3 linked regions of the Oryctolagus cuniculus genome follow. The protein of the gene in region 1 interacts with the protein of each later gene in a biochemical or structural test. Links are inferred from orthologs where the notes say so. Each region holds a gene or a part of one and is shown on either strand. Other genes may lie near its edges.

Region 1 (5,497 bases):
CATTAGGGAAGCGCTGGGGGCTGTAGTTGGGGTCTTCCTGAAGCCGTTTTTGTATGTCAGACCGGAGCTAGAGAGAGAAACAAGTAGGTTGGAGAAGCACTTGTCAAGGCTCCTCTGATCCCAACAAGCAGAGGAGGCCATCCCTCAGGAGTGAACGCTTCCCCCCCAGCAGCCCCCCACCCCCATCCCAACACATACACTGTCCAATGTGGCATTGCTGAGCGTTCTCAGATGCCACGGGTCGGGTGGGGGGAATGCTTTTGACCAGTTGTCTAAAGGGGGCCAGGGGGAGAGGGGCCCTATCCCAACCCCTCCCACGGGACCATCCCTATTCTGCTTCGAGGTGGGGGCACCTGCTGCCTGTAGCTCTCCTGAACCTCTGGTGCCTCCAGGTCCCGGCTCAGGCTCTCGGGGCTCGTCAGGGGCCGAGCTCCGGCTGCCTTAGCTGCCCGGCTCACAGCTTCTGAGAGAAGCAGCTGGGGGCCCTCACCCTGCATCGTCTGGTGGACAGGGAGTTGGGAGGGAAAAGAGGATCACCGTCAGATCCAGTGCCGCCACCCAGCACACCCTTCCAGGAGTCAACCACTGAGTCTGCACACTAGCAGAGAGAAGGGAAGCAGCACACATGCGGTCTGGACAACACAAATGCCCAATTATGTTGGGCTCTGGTTAAAGGGTTTGAATGTGCTGAACTTGCTCTTCAAAACAAAAGGGGCAGAATGGGTCAAGCCATCTGGAGTTTAGAACTAGTTAGGCCGCAAAAGGAAGCCATCTTAAAGAAAAGTGGGCACTAGTCACACAGTACAATTAGAGACCAAGACAAGACTACCAGCAAACTAAGGCCAAGTCCTGTGTGGTTTTATGCAACAACTATGAGCAAGAAAATGAGTCCCAAAGGTTTCCCGAACTAGAAGAGCCCCTTCCAACTCTAGTTTGATTTTAAACATGAGAGGGGAACTTGGACAAAGATCCTCAGGGAAGAGGTAAACCGACCTTGCGTCTCTTGGCAGGCATACCACTGAGGTAGGCGTCGCTCAGGGGGGGCTGCGGCTTCACCTTCCGCTGGCTCTGAATGTCCTGCTGGATGATAGGAACCCATTCCTGGGAAAGGAAACATCCAAAAGTAGTAACTCCCACAACTCCCAGTGGCCTCAGCTCCCTGGATCACCTCTCAGCACTTACTGGGGGCACAGCAGCGGCCCAGGGTTCTGTCTCGGCTGAGGCTCCATCCTGTTCATCCTGGGAGCCCCCCTCAGGGGCAGGGGGCGGACCTCGGGACATGGCCTCTTCTGCTGTAGTTCCAGGAGCAGGGGAGGCATTCTCCCGCTGGCAGTCAGACGGTGGGAGGAGGCAGGTTTCAGAACTGAGACCCAGCCCTGCCCTCTCAGCCCCCCAGTTCCCATCATCTGGCCTCTCCACCCCTCCCTGTTACCTGAGGCTCTGGGGACGTTCTTTCTGCTCCTTGAACTTCCATGGGCTCCTCAGGCAGTGGCTGTGAGGTTGGAGAACACCGACAGGCCCTCTTAGACCCCGCCGGCCCCCTCAGGCGCCCTGGTCCCAGAGCCCGCCGTGTCCCTTACCTGAGGGGGATCACCAACCCTGCGGACGTATCTGAGGATGGCATCGGGGCCCACGGGCATGTGCTCCAGCACCACCTGAAGCCGCAGGCCCATCATGGTCGTCAGCCAGCTCACCAGTGACGGATTCACTCCACGTGACATGCGGCGCTGAGGGGCAGAAAACAGACTGGGAAGACAAAACCCTCAGCCGGCTTTTAAAATACATCAGATCTAGGGTACAGGATAGTACTTGGGAGAAGAAAAATGAGGAGCAAGGAGACCTCAAGAAACAAATGGCTGGGGAGCTGGGGTGGGATGGTGCTTACAATTCGGCCATTGATGACAGCAGCCAGCTCCATCTGCTGTCCCCCCAAGCAGTGCAGGTTCAGGGCCAGGCACTCAAACAGGCCTTGGTTACACAACTCCAGCAGCCGGGCCCCAAATCCACTGTCTGCAGGCAAGATATAAGGAGAGAATGCTGGCACCTGGCAGCTCTGCACACCCGCTACATACCATGCACCCACACCTAGCCAGCCCCTGCCTGGCCAGGCCCTGACCTGTGCAGTGCAGCACATGAGCAGCAATGCTATTAAATTGCTCTTGAAGAAATTCCAGGTTTGTCCGGATGATGTCCACACCAGGCTGAACCTGCACCAAAGACTGCGGGACAAGACAAAGACCCCAGATCAGGAACCCTGAAAGATCGGAAGTGGAGAAGGCACTACGGACATCAGCTGTCTGGACCAGACCCAAGGAGAGGAAGGCAATACAGAAGGGTCACTCACAAAACTCTCCCGCACGTATTCCTCTAGCCCTGTGATCAATGTGTGTGTCGCCATCTACGGGGAGAACAGCAGAGGTCAGGCCCAAGCCTCAGTCTCAGGAGACTTCCTTCTCTACCCCTCCCCCCTCCACAGGTCCATGTCTAGGGCTGGCGCAGTCAACGGCGTAAGCTGATACATGAACAGGGTCAGAAACAAGGTACTGAAGGGGGAAGTGGGAGGCTTCTAAGGCTCCGGGCCTTCATTTACCCGGATGTTACCAGGTGTGGGCTCCTGGCCACCCAGGTAGTGCTGGTGGAAGAAGGATCGCAGCTGGGGCTGGAGCCGCTGCAGTGGCTGGAAATGCCCATGGAGAAGCATTACCACGTCCACCATGGAGAAATTCTGGCACAGAAGAGAGAGGAGAGCCCCAAAGAATCCTGCGGACAGGGGCGAAAGTTAGCAAAGGCCTTTACCCCCAGCCAGCCCATCGGCCTCATCCCATCTTGGCAACCTCCCTAAACAAAAGCCATCTACCTACCCCCGGCTGTCCCTTCCCTGGCTATCCCCTCCTAGAGAAGACCAAGGCTCCCGTCGTTGCTCACCGAGGGCTCCATCAGCCCCAGGCTCAAAGATGTTGCTGGAGCCACTGAGGCGCTGGATGAAGGCGGCAATACTTTCACTGCTGCCAGCGCGAGCTCCCAAAGAGCCGAGCAGAGAGCTCAGCACGCCTTGTACCACGGAGGTGAAGAACTCCGGGGAAAGGCTCTCAGGACTCAGGCCTCCAGGACTCCCTGTGCCACCAGAAGGGGACCCTGGTGGGGCCGTGCTCTGCTGCTCTGGGGCAGGGGGTGGGGGTGGAGGTGGTGGAGGGGGTGGAGGGGCCGCCTGTGTTGCCTGGGAAAGAGAGAATAAAGATGATGAAGTGAGACCTGAGAGTAAGGACAGACACCGACACGGTCTGGGGAGACAGGGGGCCGTATTCTAAACCTTACTCCTTAGGAAAGAACACTCGTGGCAAGGGAGTCCACAGCAGAGCTGGCCTAAGCAACTCCTCTCTCACTGTATGGTTTAGACCAGAGAGCAGGACACTAGCCACTACAGCGTCTCTCTCTCTTCTCTAAAGCCTTATTTCCCTCATCTCCAAAATGGGAGCAGTTCAGTCAATAAAGTCCCGGCTCCCTTCTCTGGCCACAAAATTGCAGGCAATGGCCCAACAGCTACCTAATGGCAACACAGCCCCACTGCCTGGCTAGGCTGGGGCACGGGACGGGTGAGGAGAAAGGCAAGCCAGCCACTCACCTGCAAGAAGTCACTCATGCCCTGGAGAAAGGCAGGGACGCCGGGCATTGCCACGGTGATGGTGGGAGAAGCCACGCCAGGCCCTCCAGATCCTGGCCCTGCAGGCCCCAGCAAATTCCCCAGAAGCTGAGAGAACTGCAGATCAGCTGCAGGAGGCTGAGGGGGTGGAGGCTGGGCAGGCCCCCCGGGGGCAGGGCCAGCTGTGGTAGCTGTGTTGGTGGTGCCAGCACTGGCTGAAGCAGTGGCAGGAGCTGGAGGTGGAGCCATTCCTGGGGTCCCCTGAGCTGTAAGGAATCAAAGGCAAAACGAAATCTGAAGAAAATTCAGACATCACAGCACCCTCATTAGGTGTTAACAGGACAGTGAGAACCAAGAGAACATGAGAAGAAATGGAAAACAGCAGTTCACACGGACAGTGTCGGGCTTTGGAATCATGGCGATCTCTGAAGTGTGGGGTGTGGAAGAGCGAGGACTCACCCACAAGCACAGGCTGCATGAGAAGCTGCCCCACAAGGCCGCTCACCATCTGGGCCAATGAGGCGTTGGTACCCAGTCCAGCACCCTGCTGGGGAGAGAAGTGGGGAGATTTTTATCCCTACCTTTCCCACATACCAGTTTGGGGTTCTTTCCCCTAACTTTTCCCCACTGGAACAACTCCCCTACCCTTGCTCACCAGAGCCCCGGAGACTGGAGGCCCCCCAGGATGGGAAGGCCGAGCCTGTGGAGGAGTTGGCCGGGCAATCACCACCCGGGTTGGAGCTGTTGGGAAGCCTGGGACCTGCTGTCCTGTGGGGGGCAGAAGAGAGAGACCGGAGAGAGCTGAGGGCTGGGCCCTTGGCCACTAGCTGACAGCACCCGCCACCATGGACTATGCCCCACCTCCCAGGCCTCCCCTTCCAGGTCATTACCTGCTGCCGCGGAGGCAACAGCTGCCACCATGGCCTGATGAGTGATCTGGTGGGCGACGGCGTGCATGAACTCAGGGGGCAGGGAGGGCAGCTGGATGAGGGTGGAGCCTGGGGGGCGGGTCTGATGTAACCTTGAACCTGGACCCCTTTAACCCACCCATTCAGCCCTACCCCTTCTCTACCCAGAGCTCAACCTGCTCTGATGCCCTCACTCTTACCCAGGGTCTGGCCATGACCAGGGGGTCCTAGGGGGCCAGTGGGAGCACTCGGAACACCACCGGTCTGTGTGCCAGAATCTGGGCAGGGAGACAGAGAGAGTGGCCCTGAGACAGGCGGGGCCAAGCCCTAACGGCATCCTCCTGAGATCAGCTGTCCTGCAGGCTCCCACTTCCCCAGCCGGAACACCTGCCTTTCTCTCCATCAAGACAGGGAGCAGGTGCTCCCTTCACCACACCAACAAATCACCAAGGACACAGCACCCATCCTGCCCCGCCCCACACACGACGCTTAAAGCTGCTGCTCTGGCTCCTCTGCCAGCGCTGCCAGCAGCAGCCTCTCCCTTCCCCAGCCTCGCACCTCATACCTCAGCGCCAAGCCTACCTCCTTCACCATGCTGCTCTTCTCTGCCAGCGACCGACTCTAACTCACCTTGAATGTTCATGTGCATCATGACTACGGGTTCCACGCTCTGGTGGGAAATTCGGATGACCCTCGGGTGACTGGTGGCTGGCTGGGGAGCTGGCCCTGGAGTGGAAGCCCCCTCCGTGGACGACTCGACAGTGGTAGAAGACGGAGCCAGGGACGAGGCCTGCCCGGGACCAGAGGAAGGTGCCTCTGCATTAGGAGCTGGGGGGGGACGAGTCCCATTCCCCGTCATGGTCACAGTAGTCCCCACATTAATCTGGAAGAAACAGGGGGACAGGCGGGAATAAGAAACACACAAACACCTAGAACAGATCACCTTATG
Region 2 (5,376 bases), on another chromosome or scaffold:
CACAGTGCCGGCCTCACACCTGAGGCTCTTGACATGAGCCTAGGCTATGGAAGCCTTTTGAGTCCACAAACTCTGTCAGCATTTGGACAAGGCTGTCAGCAAAGCGGAAGTTCTCTCCTCCCTTCAGAGAAAAGTACATCCTTCTTTGATGGCCCCTTCTTTCCACTGGGGTCTCACTCACAGAGATCCTTCATGTAGGACATTTTTTTCCACAGTGTCTTGGTGTTCCATGCCTGAAGCTCTCTTAAAGCCTCTTCCCAGGCTTGGGTGAAGGCAAAAAGAGGTGAAAGTGGGTGACAGCGAATGTCACACACCAGGAGCTCTAAGTAAAGTCGCCTGCCTCTCGGCCGCTCCCCACAAAGCCCGATGAAGCCAGAGTGGGTAGTAAGCTGACCTGCCCCTGGGGGTGTGAGCGGCACAGCTGATTGGGCACCTGCTTAAGGGTGTGGAGCATCTAGGTGGTGTTGTCTCCCTCAGGGCTTTAGCCAAAACCAATAAAGCATCCTATTTTAAAGTCTTATTATGCAAGGAAACATGTGTTCTGTTTTTTAAAAAGATCCTTAGTATTTACCCTTTTTACCTGTTTTCAGAGACCAGTTGTGCAGTAGGGGCTGGCGTCATGGCAGAGTGGGTGAAGCTACCACATGCAGTGCCGGCGTCCCACGTGGGCACTTGTTCATGTCCCAGCTGCTCCGCTCCCAGTCCAGCTTCTTGCTTAACGGCCTAAGGAAAGAAGATGGCCCATGTGCTTGGGCCCCTGCCACCCACATAGGAGACCCAAATGGAGTTCTTGGCTCTTGGGTTTGACCTGGCCCAGCTGCAGCCATTGTGGCAGTCTGGGGAAAGAATCGGCAGTTGCTAGGTCTCACTGTCTCTCCCCTCTCTCTCTGTATCTCTAACTTTTAAATAAATAAGTCTAAAAACAAGCAAACAAACCAACAGCTTGTTTACATTTTTGAGCCAGCGCAGGCATTTGGCACAGCAGTTAATACACCTCTTGGGGGGCCGGCGTTGTAGCACTGTGGGATACCTGCATCCCATGTCAGAGTACCTGGGTTTGAGTCCTGGCTCCACTTTAATTCCAGCTTCCTGCACCCTGGTGGGCAGCAGGTGACAGCTCAGGTACTTGGGCCCCTGGCACCCAAGGGGGAGACCGGATTGAGTTCTGGGTTCCTGGCATTAGCCTGGCCAAGGCCCAGCTGTTGCAAATATTTGGGGAGTGAACCAGTAGATGGAGAATTTGTCTCTTTTCGTCTCTCTGCCTTTCAAATAAGTAAAAATAGAGAAAATTTTTAATGTGCTAATGTCCAGCCATATAAAAAATTTTTTTAGCATTTAGTAGAATTGAAAGAAAATTCCCAGAATGCAAAGCCGCAGTTAGTTTGGTTTTACCAAGAATACGTTCAGTTTGGAGATGCTGATGTGTTTCAGACTGGTCCTGAGTTACTTCCTGCACTAACACGGAAGGTCTCACGGGGTCGGGCTCTGCTAGGAGTGATCCCTGGGGCACGTACGGCAACCTGTCCCCCAGGAGCGCCGTGTGCTCAGGGTGTTCTGCCAGGTAGAGGGGGCCTGTGCCCACAGCTGCTTCTGGTTTCTCCCGTGTCCAGGCGGAACGCATGCCACTGGACCTCAGTCCCCGCCTGGAGGAGCCCGTGGACTTCAGCGAGTTGGAAGCAGAGCCCGGCGAGGTGGAGGACTTTGAGGCGCGGGGCAGCCGCTTCTCCAAGTCTGCTGACGAGAGACAGCGCATGCTGCTACAGCGCAAGGACGACCTCCTGCAGCAGGCTCGGAAGTGAGTGGCTTCCCCAGCCCCGGTGGGCATACATCCAGGTCTGAGACCTGTGGCGGGGTCATCAGCGTGTTAGGCCCACTTCCACTTTAACTAAAGATGCGACATCAGGCAACCGTTACATGGCGCTTAAAAACTCAGGCTTCAAGCCTCCCTCGGGAGGAGTCCGGCCCCGCTGAGCCCGACTGGTAACTTGTGGTGGGCTTCGGTGCCCCTGTGGGCATCTTCAGACGCACTCGCACGGACAGCGCTTGCGTGCCAGCGGGTCCTTTCATGAATAACTCTTCAAACGACTCTAAGGGGGAGCATTGTTAGAATCATTTGACAGACTTACAGCTGAAGAAGCTGAGGCTTAGAGAGGTTCACGCTGGCCTGGGCCTGACGGCTGGCTCCGGGGTCCTCCCTCTTGACCACTCTGCCTTGTAGCTAACATAGAGGTGAGCACAGAGCGCACATCTGGGGCCACACCTGCCCTGTGGCTGCGGCTGGAGCCGTGGGTGTCGAGGTTTATGTCAGTGGCTGGGTTTTGTGGCCTGAGCGTGGGGACTTGGGTGGGGTGGGCAGGGAGAGGGGAGAGGGGCGCGGAGCGGTCACTTGTCCCGCCCGCCCCAGTGCAGGGAACTCAGGCTCCACTCAGGGTCAGGGTCCGCGTCTTTTTCATGAAGTTGCCCGGGAGACGGGGAGCTGCGCGTGCTCCAGAGCGTCTCATCCCTCCGCAGGCGTTTCTTGAACAAAAGCTCCGAAGAGGACGCGGCCGCCGAGAGCTTGCTCCCGCCCGCGGGCCCGTCCCCCGACCCCGTGGCGCTGCGGCGGCGGATGCTGGCGGCCGCCGCCGAGCGCAGACTGCAGAAGCAGCAGACGTCCTAGCGCCGCCGCCCCTCCTCGGCCGCCGCCGCCGCCTGAGCCCCGCGCCCTGCGCCCAGCCGGAAGAGGCTGCCCAGTGCTGCTGCCGTGTGACGCCGCGGGCCCGACTCGTTGCCGCTGTACAGAGCATGTGGTCTTCTAGTGTGTGGACGGCTGACAGATTTAATTCTTCTCTGTAATACTTTCTATGTGATATTCTCTTCCCCTTAAAAGCACTGCACATTTTCACTGTAGGCGTTGACTTGTTGGGGTGGGGAGCGATCAGGAGGAAGTGGGCAGGCGCCCGCCAGCGGCAGATACTGCGTCCTTAGCGCCACATCTGGCAGGAGGCTGTGTGCTCTGGGAGGGCGCATCGCCAGCAGCGAGCAGAGGCACCGCCGAGCCTGGCTCCGCACCGCCGCCACCGCCGCCACCTGCTGTCACACCTGAGGAGGCAGAGGAGGTGTCAGAGGCCAGACTAGGGGGCTCCCGGACCCTCGGGGCCAGCAGGGCATCTTGGGAAAGGCCGTGGTCTGCTGCCCGGAGCAGAGGAGGGGCAAGCTTGGGGCTGCAGAGTGTGAGAAGGCGACGCCCTTCCCTCCCGCCACATCGGGACTGTGTGAGCCCCAGGTCACGGCTGGCTTTATTTCCGTTAACTCTGGTGCTCCTGCAGGTCCTGAGTGTACCCGTGTCCCCCGTCCCCTCCGCGTTCCCTGGCCCTGTGGACACGGGGAAGGGGGTGGCAGCCAGCTTTGGTTTATGGTTTTAACCCCTCGGTCAGGCCCATCGGGCAGTGCCAAAGCCTGTGGGTTTGGTCTTCGGAAAAGAGGTGGGCCGAGCCAGGTGGGGGAGTGGGGAGTGCACTGGGCAGGGCTTTAGGGAAGAACTGAGAGATAGATACCTTGTGTGTATCCCCGGCCGTGGCTGTCCGCCAGACCTAGGAAGCTAACAGGTTGAATCCACATGCCTTGGAGCAGACCCAGGTCCTGAGTCTTCAAATTCCTCACGCAGTTAACTTTTGGGATTTGAAACACGCAATCATAGGTTACATAGTTCAGTTTTATGTCCCATTGGATTAATTTTTTTTAATGTTTGAAACATAGTTTTATGGTAGTCCTTTTGGGAAGAATCCCAGTATTATCTAAAATTATTGGCAAAGTTAAATGTATTTTACATAACTGGAAGTTTTTAGAATGTTGACAAGTAATTGAAAAAAGGGTGGTAGACAAATATTTAGGCAGAAGTAATTTATTTCAATAAATCTTTGAAAAGCCTTACTTTGAAATGCTGTTAGTAAACCTCTGTGATTTTTAAAATTTGTTTTGTTTTGCTGAGAGCATAGCTATTTGTTTTCATTGTAAAACAATAATAATAATAAAAAGCAAACTTTTAGTGTGTTGTGTATCGCTGGGAGTTGAGGCAGCTGCTTTCAGGGGGGTGGACATTAACTCTGATTTTGTGGGGACCATTTTGGCTGGGGGGGTTTTGCTTTCTCCAGTATGTTGGAGAAGGCAGACAGGATTTTTCTTCTCCTCATACTAGTATTTCATTTAAAAAAAATTTATTTATTTGAGAGGCAGAGTTACAGGGAGAGACAGGTCTTCCATCTGCTGGTTTACTCCCCAAATGGCCACGGGCTGGGCTAGGTCAAAGCTGGAGCCAGCACTAGGCTAATCCTCTGCCTTGTGGCACCGGCACACCAGGTTCTAGTCCCGGTCGGGGTGCCGGATTCTGTCCCGGTTGCCCCTCTTCCAGGCCAGCTCTCTGCTGTGGCCAGGGAGTGCAGTGGAGGATGGCCCAAGTGCTTGGGCCCTGCACCCCATGGGAGACCAGGAGAAGCACCTGGCTCCTGCCTTTGGATCAGCGCGGTGCGCCGGCCGCGGTGGCCATTGGAGGGTGAACCAACAGCAAAGGAAGACCTTTCTCTCTGTCTGTCTCTCTCACTGTCCACTCTGCCTGTCAAAAAAAAAAAAAAAAAAAAGGCTGGAGCCAGGAGCTTCCTCCGGGTCTCCCACACGAGTGTGGGGGCTGAAACATTTGGGCCATCTTCCACTGCTTTCCCAGGCCATAGCAGAGAGCTGAATCAGAAGTGGAGCAGCTGGGACTCGAACCAGTGCCCATGTGGGATGCCGGCACTGCAGGAGTAGGCTTTGCCCACCACACCACAGCGCCGGCCCCACATTTATTTATTTATTTTCAAGGTAAGTATGGAGGAGGCGGCTACTTTGCTTTCTCCGAGTCTGTTTTACTTTGCAGGTTGCATACCCATTAGAGATGACACTAACTCCAGTTTCTCAGGTTTATGAAGTGGAAAGAGGAAATTGATAGAGGGCCTGGGATCACTGGACTATCACAGCGTGGCAGTGACCAGAGCAGGGAGAATGCTTTACTTAGCCTACAGTGACCGACAAGCCCCAAGTTCACCCCTAAATTGTGCATCTAGACAGTTAAAGATTCTAGCTGCTACCACCGGCCCCTGGCTTTTGTCATTTGGAGGCCCCTGGGATAGGTGCTGAGGGCAGAGAGTGGGTGGGCTTCCCGGCCCAGTCCCCCTTGGCCATCTCCGCTGCTGCAAGGGTGGGCAGCTTGCTTTTGTGCCCGATGTTGCCATGGAACACAGGCTGTACCGCTGGGCCGTGGCACGTGGGCTTTCTGTGCCCTTGCCCTGCCTGGCCGTGGGAGCGGCTGTTACTCCCTCTGACCTCTTGGGTTCTCAGCCACTTGCTTGAGTTTTGTGTTTT
Region 3 (5,497 bases), on another chromosome or scaffold:
CACCAGATGGAGCCCTGGCCGTCGTGGCCACGTGGGTGGTGAACCAGCGGACACACAATCTCCCGAACACAAATCCGCGGCCCAGACAGGACAGGAAGCCCAGCACGGAAGCCCACGGTGTCCGGCAGCACGCGGGGGAGACCCCCCCACGGGGAGCAGTGCACGCCAGAGGAAGGGAGACCCCCCACGGGGAGCAGCACGCGGCCAAAGAAGGGGACCCCCCTCACGGGGAGCAGCACGCGGCCAGAGGAGAGACCCCCCCACGGGGAGCAGGCCGAGGCTCTGCTGCTCGCTGTGGCCTGGAGGGACCCGAGGCCGTCAGCCCGGGAGACACGGGGCCCCGGCCACACGCGTGGGACGGAGGACGTCAGCCCGGGAGACACGGGGCCCCGGCCACACGCGTGGGACCCGCGGGCGCAGGTGCAGCGGCAGGAGGGGCTCTCTGGGCTGCAGGGATGTCCTGGAGGGGGGGAGCGGTGCCCACGGGGGCGGCGCCGTCACTTACAGCTGCTGAAGCTGGGGGTTGTTCATCAGGTTCGACGCCTGGAGGAAGCACCGGGAGTCAGGGCGGGACTTCCGGCCCCCGCCCCGCCCCCGACAGGAGACCCTGCCCCCGCCCCGGTGGCCCAGGGGCTCCCGGAAGGTCAGTGCGGGGCCTCTGAGCCCAAGCCCCGCCTGTGACGGCCCACGCAAGAGCAGGCTCCAGGCCGAGGCTCTCGGGGCCAGGCCGAAGTGGCTGCTTGGCCCCCACGTCCCACAGCTGCGAGGCCCAGCGGGAGCCCAGCGGGAGGAACGTGGGTGTGCGGGGCGCAGCGCCGCCCCCGGGGATCCTGGGGACGGCCGTCCCTCCCACGCCGAGGCCCCTGCTCCAGCCCCTGGGGGTCGGCCCTGGGGGTCCCCCGCGGGCCTGTGCCGAGGAGCGCCAGTGAGACGGGCGGGCCGGGGGGCTCGTTACCATGCTGATGAAGCCGGGGTTGCTCAGCAGGCCGGCGATGTCGAAGCTGCCCACGCCGCCGCTCTGCGGGCCAGAGAGCGCCGGTCAGTCAGTGCGGCCCTCGGGGGTCAGCACAGGGCCACGGCCGCGGGGGATGCAGGCCCCCGGGTCTCACGTTCTGCCTCCGGGGTCGGCCCGGCAGCCGGCTCCTCCCCACGGAGGCTTCAGTGTGCAGCCCGGGGCCTACCCCCCACGGCCCCTCTCCTGTCCAGCACCAGGGCAGGCGGCACTGCCGGTGACGGCAGCGCGGCGCCCCAGGGTCACTGCAGGGCCGGACCTGAGCGGCCGCGAGCCCTGCCTCCGGCCTCTGGTGATGCGGGACTCCAGGGTCACCTGCCTGCCGGGCCCTGCAGCCCGTGCGTGTGGGCAGCCCCCACCCCCGGCTGCCCGACTCGCCGGGCCCCGCCCCTGCCCCCGCCCCTCACTGGGCCCCACCCCGCCCCGCCCCGCCGGCCAGGCCCCACCCCCGCCCCGCCCCACTCGCCGGGCTCGGGGCCTCCCGCAGCTTCAGCTCCGCGATCTTGAGGTTGGACTTGTAGGTCTCGTTGTCGGGGTCCAGCTCCAAGGCCTTCTTGTAGTAGGCCACGGCCTCCGCGTGCTTGTTCAAGCTGGACAGCGCCAGGCTGGGGCGAGGGGGCGGGAGGGGAGCGTGTGGGAGGGCCCAGGAGGACCCTCTGTCCCCCCACGCCCTCAGCTCCGGCGCCCAGCAACCCCGAGCTGCCCCTCCGGCGGCCGGCGGCAGGTGCGCGGGGCGGAGCCTGCCGTGACCACGTGGTGCGTGGGCTCCCAGCTCCTAGGACTTCCCTGGGAGGAGCCGGTTCTCTGGCATTTGTGAGGAGCCCTGGCACTGCCCAGCTCGCTTGGGAAAGGAGCGAGGGGAGGTCCCGGGGGGCACTCACCCCATGCGGCCGTAGGCTTTGCTGTAGGACGGGTCTATGCCGATGGCGCGCTCGCAGTCCTGCACGGCGCCCGCGTAGTTGCCCAGCTTGCTGTAGGCTGCGGCTCTGGGGGGGACAGGCAGGGGCGGTCGGGGCGCAGCCTCAGCGCCCCATCTGGAAAGCGGGCCGTGGCGAGGCTGTCCCAGGGGCCGGCCATGGAGCCACAAGTCCAGCGGGCAGACGCTCGAGGGCCGGGGAGGCCAGCAGCAGGACCCTGCTCAGCCACCTCCCAGCTGTCACGACCGTGCGGGGTCCGTTAGGCGGCAGCCCCAGCTTGCCACGCCCCGTGTGGTCCCGGGGACCCCGTGCGCTCACCCCGCCGAGGGGGCTGCAGCGGGAGTGCACCGCGCACAGCCGTGGGGGGGCCTGGCTGCCGTCCGTGACCGGGTTCTAGTCCCACCCCCGCACTCCCATCCAGAAAGCACAGAGGAGCCCGCACAGTGACACCAGCACCCCCCGTGGGCACTGGTTCGAATCCGGCTGCTCCACTTCCCATCCGGCTCTGCTGTGGCCGGGGGAAGCAGCGGAAGGTGGCCCCTGCACCCGCGTGGGAGACCCGGATGGACTCCTGGCTTCAGCCTGGCCCAGCCCTGGCCGCTGCGGCCACCTCCCTGTGACTCTGCCTTTCAGATACATGAAATAAACTTGCAGAGAGAAGCGGAGCTGGCCCTGACCCTCTCGGGGACGCCGCCCAGAACCGGGGACGCCAGAACCGAGGCTGGGCCGTGTGGAACCCGCCCACGTCACAGAGGTGGCTCGATGCGTGGGACGGGCCCAGCCAGAGACGAGGGTCACGAGGGGGCCCCCACCCATGGCGACCGTGGGTGCGGGGCCTCTCCAAGGAGCCCCGAACCACACAAACGCTCAGAGTGCGGGGGCACAGCCGGCCCGGCTGCCCCGGCGAGAGCGCGGACACGCCCCGAGACCAGAGAACACGGCCGAGCTGCAGCGGGGTGGGGGGCGCTCCCGGGGCTCCCGTGGGCAGCAGGGACCCGAGCACTGGGCCCTCCGGAGCAGGGAGCCGGGCCAGGCCCTCCGTCTGAACCGCTGGGCCGGACACTCGCAGTGTCACACGCGTGACCCAAACGCTTCAGTCGGGAGCTTTCCAGGCACCGGGTCGGTCCGTGGGGTGCACGTGACCCCGCCCAGGCCGAGGGGGGGCTCGGTGCACACGGGACGCTGCCCGGCTCTGGAGCACCTGCCCGGCCTGACCCCTCCCCCCGACCCCCTCCCCGTTCTGACCCCTCCCCCCCGACCCCCTCCCCGCTCTGACACCCTCCCCACTCTGACCCCTCCCCGTTCTGACCCCTCCCCCCCGACCCCCTCCCCGCTCTGACCCCTCCCCGCTCTGACTCCTCCCCGCTCTGACCCCTCCCCACTCTGACCCCTCCGCGCTCTGACCCCTCCCCGGCTCGGCGTCCTGTGCGCAGCTGGACCACCGACCCCTAGCGGCCCCGACGCCCCCCGCGCGCACCTGTTGCAGAAGTAGACGGCGTTGGCCGGGTTCAGCTCGATGGCTTTGCCGTAGAAGTGCACGGCGGCTTCGTAGTTCTCCCCCTTCATCTGCTCGTTCCCTGGGGACGAGGGAGACAGGCCCGCTGCCCCGCGGCACAGCTCGCGGCCCTGGGGGCGCCCACCCGCCCGGGGCACAGCGCCTCCGGACGCTCAGCTCCCCCCAGGCCCTGCCCACTGCCCCCGGCGCGACGTCCGCGGGGCCCTGCACGCAGGGAGCGTCGGAGCCTCGCTCGCTCCTGGCTGCGCGGCGACCACGCTCCCCCACGTGCGGACAGACGCTGGGGCCGCTGCCCCGCCAAGGCTGCCACAGCTGCGGTGACCTTGGCACGGGGCAGCACTGCGGTGGGCCCGGGGATCCGGGCAGCCGGGGGCTCCGCGTCTCCACACCTGGGCTAACCCCGCCCCCTCCCCTCGTCCCCGCCCACCTTCGGTTTTGAGGCGCTCTGCCTCCGCGTAGTCCTCCTCCGAGGGCGGGGTCCGCTCGGGGCTCCTCGGCTCGGGCTGCGTCTCCTGCTGCGGCCAAGGTCAGGGCTCAGACCCTCCCCGGCCAGGGGAGCCCACCGCGCCCCTGCTGCCCGGCCGAGGTCAGGGTGCACACCCTCCCCGCCCAGGGAGAGCCACAGCGCCCCCTGCTGCCCGGCCGAGGTCAGGGCGCACACTCTCCCCGCCCAGGGAGAGCCCACGGCGCCCCCTGCTGCCCGGCAGAGGTCAGGGCGCACACCCTCCCCGCCCAGGGAGAGCCCACGGCGCCCCCTGCTGCCCGGCAGAGGTCAGGGCGCACACCCTCCCCGCCCAGGGAGAGCCCACGGCGCCCCCTGCTGCCCGGCAGAGGTCAGGGCGCACACCCTCCCCGCCCAGGGAGAGCCCACGGCGCCCCCTGCTGCCCGGCAGAGGTCAGGGCGCACACCCTCCCCGCCCAGGGAGAGCCACGGCGCCCCCTGCTGCCCGGCTGAGGTCAGGGCGCACACCCTCCCCGCCCAGGGAGAGCCCACGGCGCCCCCTGCTGCCCGGACCAGGTCAGGGCGCACACCCTCCCCGCCCAGGGAGAGCCACAGCGCCCCCTGCTGCCCGGCTGAGGTCAGGGCGCACACCCTCCCCGCCCAGGGAGAGCCCACGGCGCCCCCTGCTGCCCGGACCAGGTCAGGGCGCACACCCTCCCCCGCCCCTCTCCTGCCCAGGGAGAGCCCACCGCGCCCCCTGCCGCTGTTCTGAGGCTGGGGAATGGGGGCCGGGTGGCCCCGGGCTCACCTTGCCGGTGGCGGCCGCTTCAAAGATTTCCGGCAGGGTCTGGGGCAGCGCCAGGTCGCTGTCGTCCACCGTGACCCCGAAAGCCGTCTCCAGGCACTGGATGGCGACTGTGGGGACAGAGGCCTCGCTGACCGCATGCCTGGGCGGGGCCTGCTTTGCTGCCGCGGCTTTGGCTTTTTTTCACAAAGGACGGGTGGGGGTCCCCCAGCTCCCATCAACCCCAGGCGGGACACGGGCCCAGGGCACCGAGGGCGGTGGGCACAGCAAGGACACAGTGGTGACTTGGGGCTCCCGGTGTGGGGGCTCGGCCCTGCCGCACACGGCGGGGGGGGGGGGGTGCTGGATCCAGCTCAGGACGGGTCCGCGCCAGAACCCCCACCCGGCCCGCCCAGCGCACTCGGCAGTCAGGGGCATCCCGCGGGCACTGTCCGCCCCGGCCTCCTCCACGAGGGGCCTGGCGGGGGGCCACTTCCGTCCCACTGCTGTGCCCACACCGCGCTGCCCAGCGGGCAGACAGCCCCAGGGCCGGCCATGCAAACCCCACGGAGAGCGCCTCTGGTGCCGGCGGGAGCAGCCGGCCCCGGCTGGAGGGGCCGGGGGCGTGGGTGCCCCTGCAGGGGGCACGGGCGTCCGCGTGGGTGAGCGCCGGGGCGGGGCGGGGCGGGAGGGCGGCGGGCACCTTCCAAGCTCTCCTGGGCGTCGGACGAGAGCCCGCCGTGCCGCAGCTGCTCGTGCAGGAACTGGATGATGGCGTAGGCCAGGCGCTTCTTGGTGTCCATCTCGAGACGGGGACGCCGGACGG

What was found.
Region 2: the proteins of BAG6 (region 1) and AMFR form a complex in vitro, tested with the Homo sapiens proteins (2 studies listed by BioGRID, with this or other methods). The link is inferred for Oryctolagus cuniculus from reciprocal best matches to the Homo sapiens genes BAG6 and AMFR.
Region 3: the proteins of BAG6 (region 1) and SGTA form a complex in vitro, tested with the Homo sapiens proteins (4 studies listed by BioGRID, with this or other methods). The link is inferred for Oryctolagus cuniculus from reciprocal best matches to the Homo sapiens genes BAG6 and SGTA.

The regions. Positions count from the first base shown.
Region 1 is NC_091436.1:138,969,128-138,974,624, reverse strand, and holds part of BAG6 (large proline-rich protein BAG6), read right to left. Parts: intron 5,432-5,497; coding exon 5,179-5,431; intron 4,827-5,178; coding exon 4,749-4,826; intron 4,639-4,748; coding exon 4,531-4,638; intron 4,409-4,530; coding exon 4,296-4,408; intron 4,188-4,295; coding exon 4,100-4,187; intron 3,907-4,099; coding exon 3,623-3,906; intron 3,218-3,622; coding exon 2,926-3,217; intron 2,761-2,925; coding exon 2,591-2,760; intron 2,399-2,590; coding exon 2,345-2,398; intron 2,220-2,344; coding exon 2,117-2,219; intron 2,011-2,116; coding exon 1,886-2,010; intron 1,728-1,885; coding exon 1,581-1,727; intron 1,493-1,580; coding exon 1,433-1,492; intron 1,327-1,432; coding exon 1,183-1,326; intron 1,102-1,182; coding exon 994-1,101; intron 501-993; coding exon 354-500; intron 68-353; coding exon 1-67. UniProt on the Homo sapiens protein: ATP-independent molecular chaperone preventing the aggregation of misfolded and hydrophobic patches-containing proteins.
Region 2 is NC_091449.1:40,136,061-40,141,436, reverse strand, and holds the end of AMFR (E3 ubiquitin-protein ligase AMFR), read left to right. Parts: intron 1-1,610; coding exon 1,611-1,795; intron 1,796-2,511; coding exon 2,512-2,659; 3' UTR 2,660-4,027; downstream 4,028-5,376. UniProt on the Homo sapiens protein: E3 ubiquitin-protein ligase that mediates the polyubiquitination of lysine and cysteine residues on target proteins, such as CD3D, CYP3A4, CFTR, INSIG1, SOAT2/ACAT2 and APOB for proteasomal degradation.
Region 3 is NC_091447.1:59,199,244-59,204,740, forward strand, and holds part of SGTA (small glutamine-rich tetratricopeptide repeat-containing protein alpha), read right to left. Parts: 5' UTR 5,475-5,497; coding exon 5,375-5,474; intron 4,803-5,374; coding exon 4,696-4,802; intron 3,961-4,695; coding exon 3,873-3,960; intron 3,507-3,872; coding exon 3,407-3,506; intron 1,999-3,406; coding exon 1,894-1,998; intron 1,618-1,893; coding exon 1,479-1,617; intron 1,019-1,478; coding exon 956-1,018; intron 544-955; coding exon 506-543; intron 1-505. UniProt on the Homo sapiens protein: Co-chaperone that binds misfolded and hydrophobic patches-containing client proteins in the cytosol. Mediates their targeting to the endoplasmic reticulum but also regulates their sorting to the proteasome when targeting fails.